Linked DNA regions of Schizosaccharomyces pombe. Changing the gene in region 1 together with any one later gene gives a genetic interaction. Each region holds a gene or a part of one and is shown in the gene's direction. Other genes may lie near its edges.

Region 1 (6,328 bases):
TAAAAAATTTTCTTACTTTTCTCACGTAAGGAAATTCACTTAGTTGATTCGTTTATAAGCGATGAGTGCAACATTTTCTAAAGTCGTTTCTTCACCAACGTAGTATACGAGAGAAGATTCATAACCCATTTTTTCGCATTCTAATTTTCTCATGTAATTGATAATATGCTTGCACTTCAACCCAATTTTTACGCGTTCCTCATGAGAAAGACCACTGATGTGTGAGTCGGCTCCTCCAGAAGCATGCATATGCTCACGCAAACTGTTTACAGCCCACCCAGTCATCTGTCGTAATATTTGAAACTCTTGTGGATTTGAAATTCCCCAATGACTTAATTGTTCTCTAGCAAAGGTTGAAAGTGTTCTCCATCGGCAATGATGATGACAACAAAGGGCAATTACAAGAGCATTAGGAGGGGAGGACTTTAAGCAATTCAAGGTAAGGTCTGTGGCAGCACCACATAAATGCTTAGAATATGCAAATACAGGTTTACCACTATTCCGAAATTCACTAGCAAAAAAATCGAGTTTCAAATCCTTAATATCAATTTTACACCTTATAATTTTTGGCTCAGGCCAGTTATTTTTGATGCTATCTTTTAATATCCTGCTATCATGCTTCGTTCGATTTGAATCACGATCAATAAGTATATATACGTTTTCTTGTTGGGAGCAGTGCTGAACATATCTTGATAACTCGGCTCTTCCAGCACCGAATTCGTAATATATAGATCCTTGGTTGTCAAAATAATGTAGTTTTTCCATATGTCCTAACAATGATGCCTAAAATGGTTAATGCTTTTGACTGCCGTTAAGAAATCATGTCGAACATACCTGCTGAATTGCATGCTTTTTTTTTGTACCCTCTTCACTGTTAAAAATGAAGTTAGTTTCTACTTTTGCAACCATCTTCTTAATAAAAAGCTAATGAGAAAGCACTTCGTACATACAGTCTTGCATTCATTGCCGGGTGAAACAACACCTTTTTTTGAGGAGTCGGTAAAGAATCACTAATTCTGTTGAACAAACAAATCCATTTTGACAACTCTTCCTTGCTTAAATCGACGATTTCAAAGGAGGAAGATTCTGAAGCATCTGTTGAAGTAGAGATATTTATGTCCTTCTTGTAATATGGATCGGTCCTTTCAACAGGACGCGCGTTACAACGCTTCAAATGATATTCTAAACGATGTCGCACAATTGTATGCTTGTGATCATATGGACAGGGGATTTGTTTTAATTCTTCCTGAGTAAAAATTTTTTTTATTCGTGCCATCAAGTTAGATAACTTTTTAACTCTTAAGTGATATTAGCCTGAATATTGATCACAAAAGTAAATCTTAAAATACAATAATTTTATTTTTCTTGTAAAATTTGGTCTTTTTCAGTCCTTCGGATAATTTACAACACTAATGAAAAATAGCTTTCCGATTCGGCAGTTCAGACACTTCAAAATAAAGTATTTTCGCGTTTTTCTCTTTATTACAGTTGTTTCCAACCCAGTCCCAAACTTTCTACTACTTTTATAGTTTTCTGTACCAGATGTGCGATTTTACGAAGAAATCTGATGTTTCCAACCATTGGCGTGCTCATAAAAAAAATTCAAATACGGAATCATGAAACATTTATATAAATTGATCATGCGTTCTAAAAAAGTAGTTTAAGCTTGACCTTGAAGAACGCAACTACTTTTTAAAAACCTCTGTTTTATACAACATTCCGGGAAAAGACAATATCCTAAGTATCACTTCCTTAAATATACCAAAGCAAAGAAATAATTAATTACAAAAGAGCAAACTGTGTTGACATTTGTGAAAAAAGTGTATATGACATATACACCGATTTTGAAATATTGATATATTGATTTTACTCTGAATTTCTTATCAGTAGCTTAACTATTTAATTCTGAGTAAAAAATAGGAGTCTAAGTAAAGTTCTTTTGATTTCAAACCCTTCTTTGTAGGAATCGTCGACATTCGTCCTTCTCAGAGCCATATTCTATCCCTAAGGGTATTAAGGAGTCAAATAGACGATAACCGCCAGTATCAGTACTGATATCGTCAAATAGTCATGAGTTCTATCCTTGGTAAAAGGAAAAATGAAGAAGTCGTATCTTTTAGCCCTTTGAAACGAATTTCTGTTGAGAAATCGCTTTTGGATAGCACTGCCTATAATAATTCATTGGATTGGCTCAGATCTAAAAATTTCAAGGTCTCGTGTCTACTTAAACATTTTAATTCTAAAATTATCAACGGTACGAAGCTTTTATTTCTTCACTGTGCGCATTACTAGGTAACTAACATCTCTATTCAATTTAGACCATCCTTTAAGTGGATCATGCTACACAGACATCGGTTATGCATTAATTAATTCCCGAAAAGCTTGCTTTATTTTGTCGTATCGTCAAAGCTTGGGAACAGCAGAACCTCCAACTATAACATTTCCGCTACCTGAAGAGGACTCAAATGGCTTTTCCGGGCAAAATGCCTTGACAGCCTTCGTCCCTTCTGATGCTTCTGACAAAGAACCTGGATTGCTGATTGTAATGCCTATCTCTGGTCGTATAGCATATTGGACTTCAATTGGGAATGCTCTCGCTCAATCTTATATATGTCCCCAGGGAATGGAAAGTTTGATAAAGTTACTCCCCAAAGAAAAATGTGAGCATTTATGTTGCTCAAACCCCATGAAGTTCATCATATCTACCAATTTTGGTCGTCTTTTTTCTGTTCAACTGCGCGATCCTGCAGGTCAACCTGACGTTTCTGTACAATTATTTGCTTCCGATATTAGTACTTTTTCTACTATTCTTCAGAAAATGAAGATTTTTAACTACCCTAGCATTCATATCATTGCTTTAAAATCCCCACCACTGTTCTCTCCATACCAACATCTTTTGTATGTCGCTGAGGCATCTGGTTTACTAGAGATATATGATTTGAAGTTGGAAAATAAGCTTGTTTCTGGTATGAATCTGTCTCCTATTTTTAAGCAGGTTTTGAGAGAAGGATGCCCCGATGCAAGCGGACTTGAGGTGTTAGACCTTACTATATGCCCCACAAACGGAAATCTAGTGAGTTTTTTAGTATGTTGGAAAAATTCTATTAATTACCGTTACATGATTATTTCTCTTGATTTTTCTGACATTTCCTCACCCTCGGTAATGAATATTCATCCATTGTATTCATTTTCTTCTAAATCTCTTGAGTCTTCAAAGCTACATTATTCATCATCAGGGAATTCTTTATTTGTGGTTTTAACAGACGCTGTTATTATAGTGCACGTCCAAGAGGATGATAAAGATATTGTATCGAGAACATCATGGGAAGAGGTTATTCGTATGAATACTAATGTCTCTGGCGGCATATTTATGTCTACTTGCTACAAATACGTTTTAGGAAAATACTCTATTCCTACGGAATCATGTTTTATAGCAACCCCTTATTCTGGTATCGCTGAAATAGAAGTTCATAGTTTGGAGCATCCTGCAAATAACGAATCTCTCGTAAAAAGCAAGTTGGAAGAAGCTGTTTTTTACTCCTTCCTTCCTGGTAATCCGATCGATTTTTCCTGCAATTACCTTCGCTCCATCAAAAAGCCTGAACTCGAAAGGATTATTGTCGATCTTGGAATGGACATCTTGAATTCAAGGTCTACTCATTTACCCCCATTATTTGCTTCTTTAATGCAGCATCTGTCCTGTAGGTTAAATTCTTTGAATAATCTTGTCCGGTATATTAGGTCTATGTCACTGGATGTTGATCGTCAAGTACTATACAAGTTGAGAGTAATGGGCGAAAAATGCAATTCTGTTAGATATTTATGGAATACTATCGATACTGAATTTAGTACTGTTAGTCATTCCCTAATTTTTCAACGCATAATTTATAGACTCACTCAAAGTGCTTCGTCGGATAACGCTTTGAGAGAGTGGTTTTTGCATAATATTGAAAGCATTGATCAACTGATAGCGCAAGCACATGAATTTTGCATAGATTCAGGTTCTCGAGTTCAAGAACTTCCATTGGAAGTTCTTGATGTAATTATGGAAGCTAATGAAGTAATTCTGGCAATTCAATCTTCGGCTTTGGCTTATCGCCGTGAGTCCCAGAAGATTTATAAGCTAAGTATTGATACCTTTGGAGAAGAGGTTCCTTGGACGTCAACGCCAGAAACTTTAGTTTTGCTGTGTCGACAGTTTGAACTTACTCGGTCAGCGCTTGTCCAGTCACATCAAGGAACCTCGGATGTGGAGAATACTTTTAAAATAAAGGATAAAGGGGTGCTAAGAAATGTCGTTTCAAATTTAGAAGTACAATTAGTGGCCTTGACAGAGGTTTGCTTTGACGCGTACTCAGAAAGGATTAGATGGATAGAACAACGTTGTGGTAAGGATGCTAGTGAAATTCAAGATGTCAAGGAAGCTTTTGCAGTTAATCGCAGATTTTGGGTTCAAACTTTATCAGATATAGGTAAAGGCAGCAGTGCCATTCGAATCGCTGAAAAATACTCAGACTATCGTTCTTTAGTAGAATTGTGCTATCAACTTTATGAGGACAATGAGCTCACGGATGCACTAAACAATTACCTTGATCTTTTTGGTATAAAATTCGCATTTATATTATATGACTATTTTGTTGAAAATGGCATGGCATTAGAGTTGCTTAATAGCGACAGGTTCAACAAATCTTATTTGAAACAATTTTTTAAATCTCGAGATTACAACCAGATTTCATGGATGCATGATATGAGGTTAGGAGACTACGATGCTGCGTCGCATAGATTGCTACAGTTGGCTACTAAACAAGAAAAGCTGGTTGATAAAAAGGAATCTGAGCTTTCATTAAGTAAATTATTTCTTTATGCAGTTCCATCCAACTCTGGAAATATCAGAGATTTGGTTTTAGTGGAACAAAAGCTTGAGCAACTACATATTCAAAAAATGGTTTCCAAAAGTGTTATGCCAGTCGTTGAACGGCTTCGTTCTCAGGGGAAAAAATACCAGCTTGTAGAAGCTGTTGTGGATGATTTGATTGGTGCCAAGGTAGCGCCTGTTATCGCTCGTCAGGTTATGCAGCGCGTAGTCAAAAAGTTCATTGCCGGACAGGTGGTTGAAGCAACTGAACTGTTGGAGTACCTCAGCTTTTCTTTATACCGTCGAGAGGACCTTGTAGAAGGTGAAGTTACCGACTATTATCTTGCTTTGCGTCTTCTTTTAACCACCAGATTAACGGACGATGCCAAGAGATTTTATGAAAATACCATTTGGAGACGAGCTGTTTTACATGACAACTGGATCCAAGTTTTGGATACCCAGGGTAAAAACGATGCAATTATAGAAACCCAATTCCGAATGTCAGCACTATATCGGACTCTAGAGGCTGTGACCATAAACGGACTTTTTCATGAAGGACTTATCCGACCTGGTTCGCTTTCTTCTTGTAAGTTTGAAGGATATGATCCTCAAAATCTCATTTCTATTTACCCACCCGCTCGCTTTGGAGATGTGACTGAAGTTACCAAAGTACTTAATCGTGAAAGCGTAAAGTTGGATCATTATCTTACAAAAACTAATTTAAATACTTGCTATATTAGTATGTGTTTAAGTTGCGATACGATTTAACCTTTATCTTAATCATACAAACCCATTAGATAATAAAAGAATTTTGGTTAGATAGGTTTCATCCGAGTCCCTTGATCATTGTCAATTTTGTTAGCTAATGAATCTAAAATAAAATTTTGTTTACCACTAACTCAAACTAGAAAGTATACCATTATATCTATTTTCAGCTTTCCAACCTTATACTACGCTAGCTTGGTATATCGGTGGAAAACCCAGTACTGCTTACTTGTCCACTACCAAGTACAGTGTTGGCTGCCTCGGATTCCTCTGAGGTTGTCAACTGTAAACGAAATAATTGAACTGTCACTTTCTTTGTGTTTTTCATGGAATCTTTGTGGATTTTAGCGGCATCTACTTCATTTTTCTACCCGTAACCATCTTTAACTTTCGAGTGCGAAAGACATCAACATTTAACAAACCGGAACGCTCTTTTAATCAAAAACATTTTAAAGAAAACTGCATTTAACATAGTGGAATATTTAAAAGACCATCATGTCAACTACTTCGTCTCACTCCAACGTCGTTGGTGTTCATTACCGCGTTGGTAAAAAGATTGGAGAAGGATCTTTTGGCATGTTATTTCAAGGTGTAAATTTAATCAATAATCAGCCAATTGCCCTAAAATTTGTATGTAATTATTTTTAGAGAGCAATCCAGATTCTCAATTTCAGTACTAACGTTGCATTCTCACAGGAGTCCAGAAAA
Region 2 (6,181 bases), on another chromosome or scaffold:
TTGTCCTTTATGTCAGAAGTTTGTTTGTCAAGTTCTTGAATGACTTCTTGAGGCTTTACCAATTCACCAGGAGCGCTACGAGTGAAAGTGAAAGGGAAGCGTTCCTTCCATGTTTGAATTTGAGATAACCAGTCAAATCGGGAAGGAATTTTAATATTTTTAGTAGCAGAATCTAAAAGCTTTAGAGATTCGTATACATCGCCCTCTATTGCTTCAGTAGGTTGTACGACCTTACCGATATTTTTGGGTGAAATATCAAAGTGAATAATACCGCCACGCTCTTCGGCAGCAGCAAGACGTGCTTGAGGAGCAAACAAACTTACGTTACCGGTGACACGGTCGTCAAAGCGAACACCAAGAGCAAGGATAAGATCGGCTTCCTGCATGGCCATATTAGCGTATCCACTACCATGCATACCGAGCATATGCAAACTAAGGTCAGAACGTTCATCTACAGCACCAAGTCCAAGCAAAGAAGTAGTAACAGGAATTTGCAGCCTTTCGCTAAACTTGCGTAACAAAGTGGGGCATTCGGGATTAGCTAAAACACCATGCCCACAGAAAATCACAGGCTTCTTGGCTAATTTTAGTAAATTGGCAACACGATCGATCTTGGCAGTAACGTTCTTGGAGCCCTCTTCTAAGACTTCCTTCATTCTGCGATTCATTGATGGTACAGAAGACAGTATAGGAATGGGCTCCTTCAAAACGCTAGCAGTGACATCTTTGGGAAGGTCAACCAATACAGGGCCAGGGCGTCCAGAAGTAGCTATCTCAAAAGCTTCGTCTATACGACGGGGAAGATCAGCAACATCTTTGACCATTACATTCCATTTAGTACATGAACGAGAAATACCAACCATGTCAGCTTCTTGAAATGCATCACTACCAATTGCGCTGGTTGCTACTTGACCAGAGAATACAACTAGGGGAGTACCGTCGGCCAATGCATCAGCAATCGGGGTAATCACATTCGTAGCACCGGGTCCAGAAGTAACCAATACAACGCCGGGTTTTTTAGTAACGCGGGAATAAGCTTGGGCTGCATGTCCAGCAGCTTGCTCGTGTCTTGGCAAGATAAATTCAAAATGAGGAGATCTATAAATTGCATCGAAGACAGGCAAGATAGCACCACCTGGATAACCAAATACATGCTTAACATTATGCTTGAGCATCATATCATGGAAAATTTCACCCCCAGTCTTTCCAACAAACGAGCTGTCATATTTTATAGGACTAGCCGTAGTCACTGTAGAGGTGCTTTTGGTCGAATTTGCCCGAACGACACCGAATGCATTTTTTAATTTTTTAATTCTCAAATTATTACTAAAGCCGGTGCCATACCTCCGCACAGCTGAGCAACTATTTAAATTTAAAAATCTCTTTTGAAGGGCAATTTCTCGTCCATAAGACGAGAAAGCCGCCCTCGTATGCAATCTTCTAAGGGGAGCCAGCACAGTCATTATAAATAACTTTTAACCCTCAATTCCTTTCTAGAAAGAGCTATCTTTCAAGTTGCAAAAGATCGGTATGCTGAGCGGTATGAGAAGTGAGCAGGTTCATTTTTGCCTAAAAACATTGGTTGTTCACCACCACAAAAAAGATCAGATTTGTTAACGATAAGTACTGTACCCCGGAGATTAAATATACCGATGCATAATACTATACCCTTTGAAGTCGTGTTATTATTCTTTAAAAAGTTCAGATGATGTAGGAATACAATTTATCTATTTATCCATGTCTCCTTAATTTTTTAAACATTAGTAAATGCTGGAAAACGTCAAATAAATTTTTCTTGATCCTAAATTATAAGTTTCCTATCGATTCAGCTTAGAAAATCGTCAGAATTATCTTTGAGCATAATCTGTTTAACACGTAAGAGATCTTAGATACTTTCGCTTTTTTAAACATTAGTGAGCCTCTTATTAGAGGAATTGCAATGTTTATTGTACATCGACGGTTTTTTCAAAATGAAAAAGCTTTTACGCCTGCAGGAAAACATGAAAAAGTTGCCGACGGAAACAAACATGAGACATTAGCTACTTCAGAATACCCGAAAGTCTGTGCATCAAATGACTTGTACAAAATACTCCAAATATCTGCTCCTAAGGTTGGCAATTTTACAATCCATGATGCGCCAGTTGTTGGACTAATTGACTCTATTTTGGAATATTATTTGTATATTAGTGTCAAAGTTCGAAAGGCATGGATTGCTGGTTATGGAAGTCAGCCCCAAAACTTAATATGCTTTGATTGGGAACGTTTTACGGGTATTCTAGATCAGCAGAGTCTAAATAGCCCACCGTTAGCTGGATTTGTTAAGCCAGATCCAACATCAGCAGAGCCTGGCTTTTTACTTTTGTGGCCTGCTTCGGGCGACCTTTTCTACTGGGAAAGAACTTCTTTGATGAACGTTGAGGTTTCTGCTCCCGAATTTCCTGGTTTTCTTCATTACAGGATTCAACTAAAACGATATGAAAGCTGTAAAAATTTGGTTAGTGCTGAGCCTGCTGGCTTTTTCCTTACTCTGAGTTCAGGTCGGTTGCTTCATCTGAATTTAAAAGATAGCGATGGCAATTCCTCTATTCAGGTTCGAATCCTATTTCCTGGATTGCACATCCCCAACTGCTTGCTGTCGTTATACAACAGTATCTTTGCATTTACTTCAGGAAGAGTTATTCCAATACGTTGTGGTTCAATAAAAGGACCTGGTGAGAGATTAGTTTATTCTATGCATTCTGGAAGCACATTGCGAATTTGGGAAATATTCGGGACTGGTGATCACCACTTGTTACGTGGTTTTGACATTTATGATATAATTTTAGATAGTATTCAGGAATCCTTTTCCTACGTAAATCGATTTCTAATCCTTGATTTTTCTGTTTCAACCTCGGATCCTTATACGTTAGCTTGTTTGGTTTCCTGGCGTGATAATGCTTCATTATTCAATTATGCTGCAATCATTATTTCTTTCAACCATCAGATGATACCTCATGTTTCACAATTCTGCCATGTACGCTCATATCTTTCTGCAATTCTTCCATCAGTGTGTCGAATATTTTTACCAAGTCCAGGTACAGTTGTTTTTTGCGTCTTCGATGTCACTTTTGCTATGTTTCATAAAGTGCGAGGGAAAGAAGGCACTTTTTATGTCGAAGAAAACCTGGTTGTGAACAACCTAACTTCCAAATCTCGGGTTTTGGATTTTGGCATGGAAGATGCGATATATGAAAAATCTACGCACACCTTACTAAAAACTCCAGCATTGATCTTGTTAACAGAAGGGCATGGTATAATCCGAATTGAATCTTCTGCTAGCTACCTGAAAACCAGCTTTAGTGCAACCACCTATTTACGAAGTCGTCTCTCCCAGTTTGCATCGCAAAGCCCTTTGTTCCGTGTAAGTTGTTAATTCTTTCGTATCTAACATATAGGAACAATTTTTGTTAAATTTTGACTTTACATACAACCTCTCTGAAAGCGAAGTCTATAATACAGTCTTTAATCTTTGTGATGAACTTTATACGAGTAAGATAATTTTTTCATGATATATTACTAATTGCAATCAGCGCCATGTAAAAAAAATATGTCTGTATTAGAAACACTACATTCTCAGCAACGTGACTTGATGGAAATAGTTCTTGTTGCCTTCAAATACCTACATTTATCTCCTTCTAATAGACTTCAATTATGGCTAAAAGTTGCCTATTGCAGTGCTTTGGCAGACCTATATGAATTATTGATGTGTAATGAAAAAATGTCTAACTTGCTTCGACGAGTATTGAAAATAATGTCTTCAAATGATAATATTGATGAACTTTTTTTGAAAAAGTGCCTGAATATAAATTTGTTATTACAGCATTTAAGCTCGGAATATTCTCAAATATCTGGCCAAGATGCTAGCAACGCACAAAAAAGAATTGAAGTAATAGTAAATGTTAATAACGTTTATGGGGTATGTTTCTTATAAAATAACGAGGTTTACTAATATTAGACTATCTTTGGAAATGAGCTTGCTTATAGGCAAGAAAAAATATCAAAATTTACTGATCCATCCTCTGTGATTAGAAGCGACCTTTGGACAGTTGAAGTTGATCACTTAGATTTACTACGAAAACAGATCGAAGATTCGATATCATTGCATCGCGATGTACGTGACTCGAAAGATGCACACATATTAAAAGTCAGTAACAAGCTTCGGAAGCAGATTTTGCATCTGGTGGAACAAAATTGCCTTTTGATCTTTGATTTGCACAATGGAACAGATGATACCATAGTAAAATCGCATAATTTTCAAAAATTTGAAGAAGAATTTGGCAATTCACGAAAAGAATGGTTACAATATTTAGGTAAGCTGTTTCTCACTTTCTTGTTTCCGCTAACAAAGAAGCTTCTGTCGGATATTTGGAAAAGGCAATCGACTTGGCGGAAAAAGTTAAAGACTTTCAGACAATGGTAATTTTGCTGGATTGTCTAGATCCAAAGGATCCTACCATTAAGCTTCAAAAGCAAAAAGCATGCTTAAATAAATACAAAGAAGAATTCGCAGATGTAATTTTTTTTTATTTGGTTGATACAGAGCAGTATGCGTCTTTGCTTCATGATTTCTTGGAGTATCAATCACTTTTAATATCTTTTTTTGAAGCCAATGATTTATTGAATCTTTTGTGGATATTTGAAGCTCAAAATGGAAATTATGGACGAGCCTCCGAAATTCTTTTCCGTGATTGTGAACCAGAAGAAAACAGGATTATCGGTAAAATTTCGCAGTTAGCTCTAGCAAAGCTCTACTCATGGACTAATAGAATTGAAGGTGAAAATATCATATTGTCAAATGAGACTGAGGTGATTGAAAATCATTTAGCCATTTTGCTTATTCAAGAGCAATATGCTGAAATGCTTTCATCACTTGTGGATATTACAGAAGACGAGGGAGAAGCTGTCGAAGCAATAGTAACTTCCAATTGTGTAAATCTATCAGAAAACTCTATCAGAGCCTGGCTCGTGTCTAGTGCTGTTGAGCGATTAATTCAAAACGAATACACTACGCTTTGTGAGATGGTAGATTTCTTTTCTTCTTTTTCATTACGGGAATGTTCATTCAAAGAAGTTGATTTGGCCTTAGAGTTATTAGAAAGAGCTACAATCACTAAGGACGTGTATTTTTACTTAAAAGATCTCGTATATCGCCGTTTTCTATTACAGGTGAACTGGGCAGAAATCATCGATGCGCATGAAGATTTAGAATCTTCATTTTTTCCAATGGTAAAGGAAATTATGTTAGAATCAGACTTTTTAATATGGTTACAACATATGGAACACAATATTCACGACGAAAGTAAACATTACTTGAAATCGGAAAAAAATTTTTTGCAAAGTGTATATTCTTCACTTTCTGAGTCGCAAGTGGAAGATTATCAAATGGAGCTTTTTCGTGAAAAGCAAATTTTCTCAGTACTATGTAAAGATAGAGAGTTATACATTCTGATTCCGAAACTTCTGGACGTAGCAACAAAACAATGAAATGAAATTTTGCTATATATTACTTTACATTTCCTCAGTAATCGATAAACACCTGTTTAAACCTAGTACTACTTATGTTTGTATAATCTATCGTATAGCCTCAGCTCCGACAACTCCGTTTTTACGATGGTAGATGCTAGATAATCACTGGTTAGAATATTTACGGCTTAAAATAATTAAATTTTTTTATTATAGATTCTTGATTTATTATGATGATTGCGCCTTCGGGGCTTTTTCCCTGTCCTGGATAGCCTCACCCTTACGTTGGAAATTAAGCTAAGGCCTAGTGTGTTGCATCCAAGTACACCTTACAACTAACGTCCACTAAAACACTCAAACCACATAATCATTTGTTAGTCGAAAGAAAGCCTGTAACTTCTATTAAATTATAGTAATTGGTTTTCTAAATTTTGTTGTTTTTGGTCGGCTACTGAATCGCAATTGGACTTCAATCTCTGTGGTGAATGCAGTGAAAACAAACTGAGATTTGTGTGGCATTTGTTAGTGAGGCTACAAATTGACTACATAAAAACTGCATAGTCCTTGCAATAAAAAAAATTTTATCTGTTCGGTCAATTCCTTGTGACAGGGTTATTTATCATGAATTCCCAAACGAGCGTAGTAGGGGTTCACTATCGCGTGGGTCGTAAAATAGGTG
Region 3 (4,519 bases), on another chromosome or scaffold:
ATACTGATCTAAACGGAGTGTAAGGAGGTTGATATACCGAAGATCCAGAGGCATTAGGAAGATGAGGTGGAGGGATAGGTGGAGTAGTACGGTTATGAGTATGAACAGAAGGATTATCCTGATCAGACGCATAAGAATCTACTATCCAATCGCTAGTAAGGGAGGGTGGAGGTGATTTGATAGACAAATCGCTGATAGAATAATTATTATCATTAGGAGGTATGTTATTTTCAGGATGCTCGGAATGAAGTGGAAACAAAACCTGCCTTGCCAGACACTTATTATCTGATAAGTGATTACTTATACCCAAGGATGGTATTACCACTGATTCAATTTTCCATAATTCTAACGTTATTTGAACCAAAGCCAAAGGTTGGTGAATTTCTTTACTTCGAACTTGGACGATACCAACCAACCTTGGAGCTGAAGTTGGTATCCCATTAAATCCAGCTTGGAAATCCAAATGTGGTAACGGACGTATCTCCAAAGGAGAAAATTGCCGTATTAGCGTACACGGGGATGTCATGCTCTTACATTTAGTGAGTTCCTCTGGCTTGGTGCTGGTTATGGGAAGTTGAATCTACCAAATGGTAGACAGGTTGGTTCAGTGCAGCAATGTCAGATCTAGATAGCTAAATAAAATCTTTTAAGCACTCGCTTAAACACTGCTAAGTGACTTTTTATAGCAATGAAATTAATAATATTTTATTATATAAAAATCTAATTTTAGGCCAAAAAATGTACTTTTGTTTCCATTCCATAGAATTAAAATCAAAAGCCTACAATTGATAGCCAAGCATCTAAAGCTAGTATCTGTTGTAAAAAAGTTCCATTTTGATTACAATAGTAAAAACTAAAATGACTTTAATAGCCTAATTTTGAAATTGGTATTTTCAACTTAAAATTCACTTACGAAAGCCTAAAATATGTTTATTCTTACAGCAGAAGGCTTTTTTTTTGAATTTTTGAATTTTTGAAACCATAACACACGATTGATCGCAACATACATATACGAAATATAGAAGAGAGACTGAATTCAAACGAAAACAATATAGCAAGATATCAGATTATTGAGCAGCAGAAGAAAGGGAAATAAAGCAAGTAAATACTATTTTACTAAAAATCAAACGAATCTCTAAAAGAACAGATATTTCACGCATAGTTAACAGACAATGCATAACAAAAAATTCAAAATCGAGAAAAACAAGAATCAAGAGCAACTGGTAATGCTAATTTTTGATAGTTATATGAGCCGTAGTATGATAAAAAACCCCGGCGATAATTGAGGAAATTCATTGCTGATGTACGACTCTTTTCTATCTAGGAAATAATGATTGTTTGAAGGATAACCTGAATATAGGGCTTTCTGTTCATTCAAAGATCCCTTCAGGAAGTGTTAAATGGTTTGTATAAAACTAACTCACATTTTCCGATTTATCTTTTCATTTTCAGGGCATATATCAGAACTTAAAACAATTTACTAGTAGCGATACGCTACCACTTACTTATTAAACGCTTAAAAGAGTAACACAGTGTACTGTCATGAATGTATATTTTATAAAAGCAATATGATATTTAATTTACATTAATATACTTGTAAGCTTCTCACGGCTAAAAGTAGTGATAGCCCACATTGAAGTAGGATTTTAGTGTAATGAAATCAAACACAGTAGGCCCTAAAGATAAACGGACACTTACATGTTAAGCAACATAATTTAAAATCTTACAAGCAAAGCTAGCGGCTCGAAAGCCAAACATTGTAATATAAACACAAAAAGTAGTTTGTTTACAGTAAATACCGCAATACTCGTATAACGAGGTATTTTCACAACGTAAGCAAGAACGCGCTCATCCTTCCAGGTTGTTGTGTGTCACAGCCTCTCGCGATTCACCCTTTACAATTCACTCGTGAATGATAGGAAAACGCAATGCGTCAAAAAGGACGCGTCAGGATGATTGTATTACATATGAAGAGTATCAAAGGAAACGTAAAAAGACATTTTTGAACACGTTTGTTAATATTTGTTCTCGTACAGTTACTTATGCAAAACTTTTTTTGACAAAAACTCCCATTTCTGAATTGGATCGCATCGCTGGCGAGGCGATACCATCTAATAGTAATAGTACAAATTCAAAACTAGAGCCTTCTACTAAAGCCCCTGAATCTCGGTTTTCTCACATAAATTCCAAGACTGAACGTGGTTACGTGACGGTCGAATCTGATATGTCTTCTCACAATACTCTTGACAGAAATAGTAAACCTACCGTTTCTCATTCATATACAAATTCTAGTAAGGATGAAAAATTTTTGGATCCCATTGCTCTTCAAAATCTATTTTCCCCTGCCTCTGACACGCATTCTCAAAACATCCATGACGAAGCATTATCTCCATCAAGCTTTCGTGTGTCTCGTTCGAGATACTTCCCCCGACCTCATCGGTCTTCCAAAAATTTATCTGTTAGTAATCGGTTACAGCTTGCGGTTTTTAAGGAAACAACTTCATCGACATTATCCCACGGTAATTCCGTTGAGGCTGACGAAATAAACTCTTTTAATCCTACACCTTTCTCTTCTTCTCCTCTGCACTTTACGAACTCCTCTCCAAATCCAAACTCTGACATTGTTACACCGGACAAGCAGCTAGATGTTGTTAGCGAACACGCCAGATATAAACACCTTCCTTTTACGGCTACGTTAAGAAAGAAAAGTCCTCATGATTCAACGTCTCGGAAAGCCTCTTTTAGGTTCGTTCAATCTGATCAGCAACCAGCGCGGAATATCGTTACTTCTGATATCCAAAATGAAAAATCATTACTGTTGCTAATTCGAGATTTGAAAGAAAAGCAAACAGAATCTTTTCAAGATTGGAACGAAGTTGACTTTTTACAATTAAAAGGTTTGGAAATATCTCCACCCCCCACTCGCCCCAAGTTCATTCCGGAACTTGAGTTTCCTGATAATGCTCGAAAGCGTGCACTGAAATATTTAAACCAAAGCAATTCTGTTTCCTCTTCTGAACCCATCATCACCAAATTTAATATTCCAATCACGCTTAAAGACTTGCATACTCTGCGGAATAGACAATGGTTAAATGACGAGGTAATTAATTTTTACATGAATTTGATTTCGGAACGCTCTAAAATTGATTCATCCTTACCTCGGGTACATGGGTTTAATACTTTTTTTTATACATCTTTGCAGCGCCGTGGATACGCGGGTGTTCGAAGATGGGCCAAAAAGGCACGCGTTAATATTGCAGATATGGATGCTGTATTTATACCAGTACATCTGGATGTCCACTGGTGTATGGCTGTTATTAACAAATCGAAGAAACGATTTGAATACTGGGACTCGCTGGCCGGAAGCCCTGGTAAAGTTTTTGATTTGTTGCGCGACTATTATATTGCAGAAACAAAAGGTGCCGTCGACGTGTCAGATTGGGAAAATTTTATGGATGACAATTCTCCAAGACAACGAAATGGACATGATTGTGGAGTTTTTGCTTGTAAAACTGCTGAATGTGTATCTAGAAATGTTCCTGTTCAGTTTAGTCAAAATGATATGCCTGAACTACGAATCAAAATGGCAGCTAGTATTATTGATGCACAAATCTATTAAATATGTGCTATAAACTTTTTGTCTATATACTTATCGTTTTTTATATTAATTTCTTTCTCGTTCAATACATTTTATTTCATATTCAGCGTTTTCAAAAAGGACATAATTTACTTAAATCTATATTAGAGCGTATGCATTTTTTAAGTAGCAGGGAATACTCTAATTAATAAATCTGAATCCAGGAATCTCAGCAAATATAGCTTTTGAAAAAAAAAATACCCGCATATCTTATAAACAAACTTAAGCGCTGAGCTGACGAGCGTCGAGCCCCATTGCATTTAAAAACAAATTAACATTGCTGATGCGCACAACAGCAATTTCAGAAGGTGCCCGTTTGCTAGTAATGATGTTATCAAGTACTCTGTCCCTATTTTTTACATATTTGTTAGTACAAAAACTCGACTAGACATATTTTAACGTACCTAGTTTCAGAAACCAATGTAAAATGTTGTTCAGAGCTAGCAGCAGTAGCACAAGCTGCTAAGAATTCCCATGGATAAGATTCATCAGCATAAGCTCGAGCGTTAGGTGGTGGGAATACCGTCGAGAAATGACCTTTTACGCGATTAAACATAACATTGAATGTATTTTCCCTAAATAGTTAGATGCTGTAAATACATGTATAACGTACCATTCTTCTTTTTCATTTTGATTTACAGTGCCAGATTGCTTTAAAATTTCTGCGCGACTAATGAATAGAGTAAGGAACGACAAACCAATCTTCGTCTGTATTAAATAAACAGCATTAGTGCGATTGAGAAGTTGAGAAAATAAGTTATTTATAGTTTCCAAATCAAGTTCATTAACAATAGTGAGCAATGGAGGGATGATGAACTGCGTGAAAGAACTCATTTCGGAAACAACGTCCAAAGGCAGCTCACCGTTAACGTCAAATGTTCC
Region 4 (4,938 bases), 1.0 Mb from region 1:
GTCGATTGTCTTATTTAAATCCTGGCATAATAATATAATCCTGAATAAAACAATAGAGCTATAAGCTTCGTTAAGACTGATTAAAGGCATACATAGGCATGACAGATATGAATATTGTTAGAAAGGTGACCGACTAGTCAGTTTATACACCTCTCCGACCAGATCGTTTAAAGAATGTCTTTACAATAAAGACTTGAAGAGCAGAAAGAGCGACAACCATTATAGATTCAGCAAGACTAAACCAAAAGATGCGGGCTTGAGTAGACTTTACAGTAGAATAATTACGATGCTCCCGAGTTTTGAAGTAATTTTGTACACGGTCAATTTCAGATAATGCGGTTGAGATCTCTAAAACAGTACTTTGCATGCTGTCCTTTTTGTAGTCTTTGGCTTCATCACGGGTTAATGCAGGAAGAGAAAGTTCATTTTCCATAGTGATTTCCATAGTCACAATTTTATCAGTAAACGTAGACATATGATTATCAAAACAGAATTCATATTCACCCTTTTCTTCGAGGGTGAAAAATACATCAGCCTGTCTTCTCTTTTTGCCAAGTGCAACGGTCTTCTGAGATGGTGCCTTGATCATATAATCGACATCAAAAGAACCGCCAGACTGAACAGCGTACGTGAAATGTGTTTTTTCGCCAGTGTGAAAAGAATCTAAGTAGTAACACTGCTTCTCTTGGTTTTCTAACTTGAATGTTAACTCAATAGCCGAAGCTAAGCTGGCGAGCAAAAATAGTGTTATGCCGCTTAGAGTAATTACGCGCATTTTCTATAAAGTAAGGTTAATCTTCAAAAATTTAATATAACTTTTAATTCCAATGTATCAAAACAAATTCACTTACGATATGTGAGTAGTTTTATGCTCAGCTGCAGAGTAGGCTGTTGCTACGTTGAGTGTTGACAGTGTGGAATATGCTGTATCGCAAAAGGCAAGTATCGATAGCGTTCTGGGAATATAAATTAGAGTATTAGTCTTAATAAATACTCTTAAAACAATTTTACAAATTTTTCTTCTTTTAATCATTTACAAAATTGTTTATGAAAATGAGTATAAACCCAGAATCATCAGCATACTAATAACAAATAGTAAACCTTCGAAAAATAAAAGCAGAAGTTTTTCTTCTTAATTATCAAAATAATTTGGTGGTTTTAAATGATCTAGTCCCAAACATAGTTTAGAAAGGAAATCGTTCAAAACTAACTTTCTTTACTATGATATCATATAATAAATATTCAAGTAATATTGGTATTATTATACTTCTTCATGATATTATACAAAGGTCAAACAGGTTTTCATGCGTGAATGTCCCATGCTCTTACTTGTTCTTAATGTATTGTTGTTATTTTTTTTTATAATTTACATTGATTTTAATGCGACTATGGTTGCAATTGACTAATGTATCTAATGCATTCGTAAATCAGAGATAAATACAAGTTTAAATAAACGATCTGTAAAATATATTCTAGTCAATAAAAAGAATTTAGAATAGTTTACAAAAAATCATTTTCTTGGAAGTTAACAGCAACATTTTGTTCGCTATTCGTTATTAAAAAATCAAAACAATCGTAATATGATTAATCAAAGGTTAGGAAGAAATCAGCTTAAAAAGCAACTATGCCTTTCGTTTTTTATTCATTTACATTGAGTTAAAGACACTGTTAGAGATACTTACATCCTTTGCATTGGTTGATACCCTTTATTTACATTGTTTTACCCAGATCATCTACCGCAAAATAATGAATCCTTATGTTTTATTTGGACGCGCTGTGGCTCACAAAACCTGTGCCATTGATTAAGTAGTAGGCTTCTCTATCTCGCCAAAACAGGTATGTCATGAAGAATGAGAGATTCCAAAGATGCCGTATGTTATTCTTTTTCGTTTCTTTTTCTTACTAACTATTTTTTAGCTGGATGATAAATCAGGGTCATTCACTAGTCTTCTTCCCCCGTTTGGAAAACAAAGGTTTGACTTTACCTCGTCTTTTAATTCACATTCCTATATTAATATTTTTACAATCTAGAGGTACTAGCCCAAATGATGCTATTCCTATTAAGAGCCCGCTAGAAAGGCTAGCGAATAGTGTAACATCCCCGGAAAAGCCAACGGTTCGAACTGCTATACAGAAGGATTCACCAAGGCGGAAGCAGATAGATGATGATCAAACACCTCCTAAGCACTTAAAACGCTCTTTTCAAAATGTTACAGTGGTTTCTCGTAAGTCGCAACTTTTTTGCTCTGATCCATGTGTAAAGCATGAGGAAATGCAAAATGTTTAGAACAATTCCTCTTCTTCAGTATCAATAATTGATTTTTTAAAATAAAAACTAACTTATTTTTGCCTCTTTTTGGCTACTTTGTTTAGCACGAAAAAAGAAAACAATTGATGTGGTCGAGCTGCCTTTCACAAAAGGGGGTTATGGAGGTTTTTACGATCCTAGGCCTGGGTGTTTAAAATTTACTACCCATGAAATAAATGTTTCTTACACAGATACTAGCATTCCAGTCATTCACATCCCTGTCCAATTGTTGAAGCGGTGTTGCTGGCTTCAAGGATGGAGAGACAATTTGGTGGAATCTCCAGTACATGCTATTCATTTAACCTTAAAAAATAGAGATATGAAAAGAATTACGATAGGTGATTCTGCCAGTTTATTATTTTTATACAACCCATTACATGTAGAATCCGCTAGAGCTGGCCTTGATCTTTTGGACCAATCTGACTTTTCTTTAACATCTCCTAGTTCGGCTAAAGAATTTAAACAATTATTGACTTTAAAACAATCCACGATCATCCCTCGCACTCCCCAGAAAACTGTAAGGTCAATTGTTAAACAGACCTCGTCTCCACATTCCTCAAAAATGCCTAAACATTCCCTTCCATCCTCGCCAACTCCATTTAATTCCAATTCTGGTGACTCTCTTCTTTCCAGGATTAAAAATTCGAACCAGTCATCGTCAGAGCGTCCAACGGCAAATAACGGAGCTCAAGAGCAAAATCAGTCATCAAGTTCTGCTGGAAACACTTCCAATGACTTTTCAACTTTATGTTCTCAAGGTTCTGATAAAACACTTCTGTCTGATGCATCTTGTACCACTATTCTCGTATATCCGTTTTCTGGAACAAATTCAATTGCCATTACTAATACCGACCTTACAAGACTCAATGAGGGAGAATTTTTAAACGATACTATTGTTGATTTTTATTTGAGGTAAGTTTTTTTTTTTTTTTTTTTTTTTTTTTTTTGGAATCTTCGCTTCTTTTAACCTCAAAAATTTAGATATTTATACTGTAAATTACAAACACAAAATCCTTCTTTGGCCAATGACACTCATATTTTTAACACATTTTTCTATAATCGTCTTACTTCAAAAGATAAAGATGGGTATGTAACAGGCTTTACTTCTATCAATTATTTGATCACTAATGGGTAATATAGCAAGCGGCTAGGTCATAGAGGAGTTCGAAAGTGGACTCAAAAAGTTGACCTTTTCCATAAAAAATACATTATTGTTCCTATCAATGAAACATTTCATTGGTATCTAGCTATTATCTGCAACATTGATCGATTAATGCCTGTGGACACAAAACTGGAAGAGCAGGATGAAATAGTTATGTCGTCTGTGGAACAACCGTCTGCTTCAAAGACTAGACAAGCAGAATTAACGAGCAATAGGTATGTTAAAGGTTTACAATTTTATTGATTAAAAGGAAAAATATATCATAAATCATTTGATTCAGTTTACTAAGTTAATTATAGTCCAGCAATTTTGATTTTTGATTCTTTAGCAAATCTTCATAAAGGAGCATTAAATTACTTACGTGAATATTTACTGGAAGAAGCTTTCGAAAGGAAAAATGTACATCTTAAGTCCACTGATATACGGGGGTTTCATGCAAAAGTCCCGCAACAAAGCAATTTTTCTGATTGTGGTATATATGCGTTACATTTCGTCGAACTATTTCTTGAAACTCCTGAGCAAGTGATAGCCAATACTTTAGATAAATCTCTTAGACGGACGGATGCTAAAAACTTCGACCAACAGTGGAACCTTCAAAAGATTAACACGATGAGATGCGATTTGAAGGGTTTAATTCGCCGTCTGTCAACTGAGTGGTCGTCTAACAATGAACGACAATCGCTTAGCAGCGGAAGCAACGATGAAGAAGATAAAGAAAATGATGATGATTTGGCAATATTGCCAATCACAAATTAGAATTTACAAGGGAATTAGGGAAATCATAATTTCATATTAAAACTTAACGAAAGCATTATTATCAAAAATTTTAGCGTAGAAAAATCAACAAAATTCATGTCTATATCGTGTGTATGCTAGCATGTATAACTTCGCTAGCGACGTTTAGTATACAGGTGCTTCCGAAATAAGGCATGATGTTCTTTACTGTCCTTTTTCAGCTGTTTATTAGCACTCTTGTTATATTCCACGTATGCCATATTGTCGGCACCAGCCAATGTACTTAAAGAACCACTAGAACGTTTAGCTTTCGCCGGTGCTCTAGAGAGACTTCTGGATCCAAAGCTAGTATCCTCACCGTCATCCAAATCAGCTGCTTCTTCATTTTGTAGCAATACTTCCTGCAAAAGCTCAAGTCTCTCCGCTTTGGAGGCGTAAGCCAAATTTGGCAAGTTCTCCATACCCTTTAAATTAGTGATGACTTTAAAAGCATAGCCTTGGTCAATTAAAAATGCTTGCCGTTTACTGGAATAATACATTTCCTGAGTGTCTTTAGATACCAAGCTATAGAAAAATGCGTTAAAGCCTTCATCATTTCGTCGCTTGGCACGAAGAATACGCCCCAAACGTTGAGCTTCTTGACGCCTAGAACCATAATGAGAAGAAATCTGAATCAAACAGGTTGCTTCAGGAAGATCAATAGACGTATCACCAACTTTAGAAAGGAAAATGG

What was found.
Region 2: mutations in nup132 (region 1) and nup131 impair growth when combined (synthetic growth defect), as found in Schizosaccharomyces pombe (one study listed by BioGRID).
Region 3: of nup132 (region 1) and ulp1, a mutation in one rescues a mutant of the other (synthetic rescue), as found in Schizosaccharomyces pombe (one study listed by BioGRID).
Region 4: of nup132 (region 1) and ulp2, a mutation in one rescues a mutant of the other (synthetic rescue), as found in Schizosaccharomyces pombe (one study listed by BioGRID).

Annotation. Positions count from the first base shown.
Region 1 is NC_003424.3:2,775,301-2,781,628, forward strand, and holds nup132 (nucleoporin, WD repeat Nup132), read left to right. Parts: upstream 1-1,987; 5' UTR 1,988-2,070; coding exon 2,071-2,254; exon of another isoform or gene 2,255-2,310; intron 2,311-2,318; coding exon 2,319-5,623; 3' UTR 5,624-5,753; downstream 5,754-6,328. Other genes in the region: tRNA 2'-O-methyltransferase Trm13, read right to left, coding at 40-783, 835-871, 951-1,276; serine/threonine protein kinase (CK1 family) Cki3, read left to right, coding at 6,116-6,250, 6,317-6,328. UniProt on the Schizosaccharomyces pombe protein: Functions as a component of the nuclear pore complex (NPC).
Region 2 is NC_003423.3:972,391-978,571, reverse strand, and holds nup131 (nucleoporin, WD repeat Nup131), read left to right. Parts: upstream 1-1,725; 5' UTR 1,726-1,939; coding exon 1,940-3,400; intron 3,401-3,434; coding exon 3,435-3,528; intron 3,529-3,569; coding exon 3,570-3,955; exon of another isoform or gene 3,956-3,994; coding exon 3,995-4,349; exon of another isoform or gene 4,350-4,390; coding exon 4,391-5,523; 3' UTR 5,524-5,550; downstream 5,551-6,181. Other genes in the region: ilv1 (acetolactate synthase catalytic subunit), read right to left, coding at 1-1,463; serine/threonine protein kinase (CK1 family) Cki2, read left to right, coding at 6,124-6,181. UniProt on the Schizosaccharomyces pombe protein: Functions as a component of the nuclear pore complex (NPC).
Region 3 is NC_003423.3:2,365,205-2,369,723, forward strand, and holds ulp1 (SUMO deconjugating enzyme Ulp1), read left to right. Parts: upstream 1-1,890; 5' UTR 1,891-1,912; coding exon 1,913-3,619; 3' UTR 3,620-3,859; coding exon of another isoform or gene 3,860-3,986; 3' UTR 3,987-3,989; downstream 3,990-4,519. Other genes in the region: arrestin-related substrate adaptor for RhoGEF, Art1, read right to left, coding at 1-526; pdc2 (topoisomerase II-associated deadenylation-dependent mRNA-decapping factor), read right to left, coding at 3,860-3,986, 4,042-4,212, 4,251-4,519.
Region 4 is NC_003424.3:1,763,624-1,768,561, reverse strand, and holds ulp2 (SUMO deconjugating cysteine peptidase Ulp2), read left to right. Parts: upstream 1-1,828; 5' UTR 1,829-1,850; coding exon 1,851-1,871; exon of another isoform or gene 1,872-1,917; coding exon 1,918-1,973; exon of another isoform or gene 1,974-2,031; coding exon 2,032-2,225; exon of another isoform or gene 2,226-2,306; intron 2,307-2,373; coding exon 2,374-3,220; intron 3,221-3,289; coding exon 3,290-3,394; intron 3,395-3,395; exon of another isoform or gene 3,396-3,448; coding exon 3,449-3,685; intron 3,686-3,769; coding exon 3,770-4,226; 3' UTR 4,227-4,329; downstream 4,330-4,938. Other genes in the region: erp2 (COPII-coated vesicle-associated protein Erp2/3/4), read right to left, coding at 143-775; transcription factor TFIIH complex ERCC-3 subunit Ptr8, read right to left, coding at 4,361-4,938.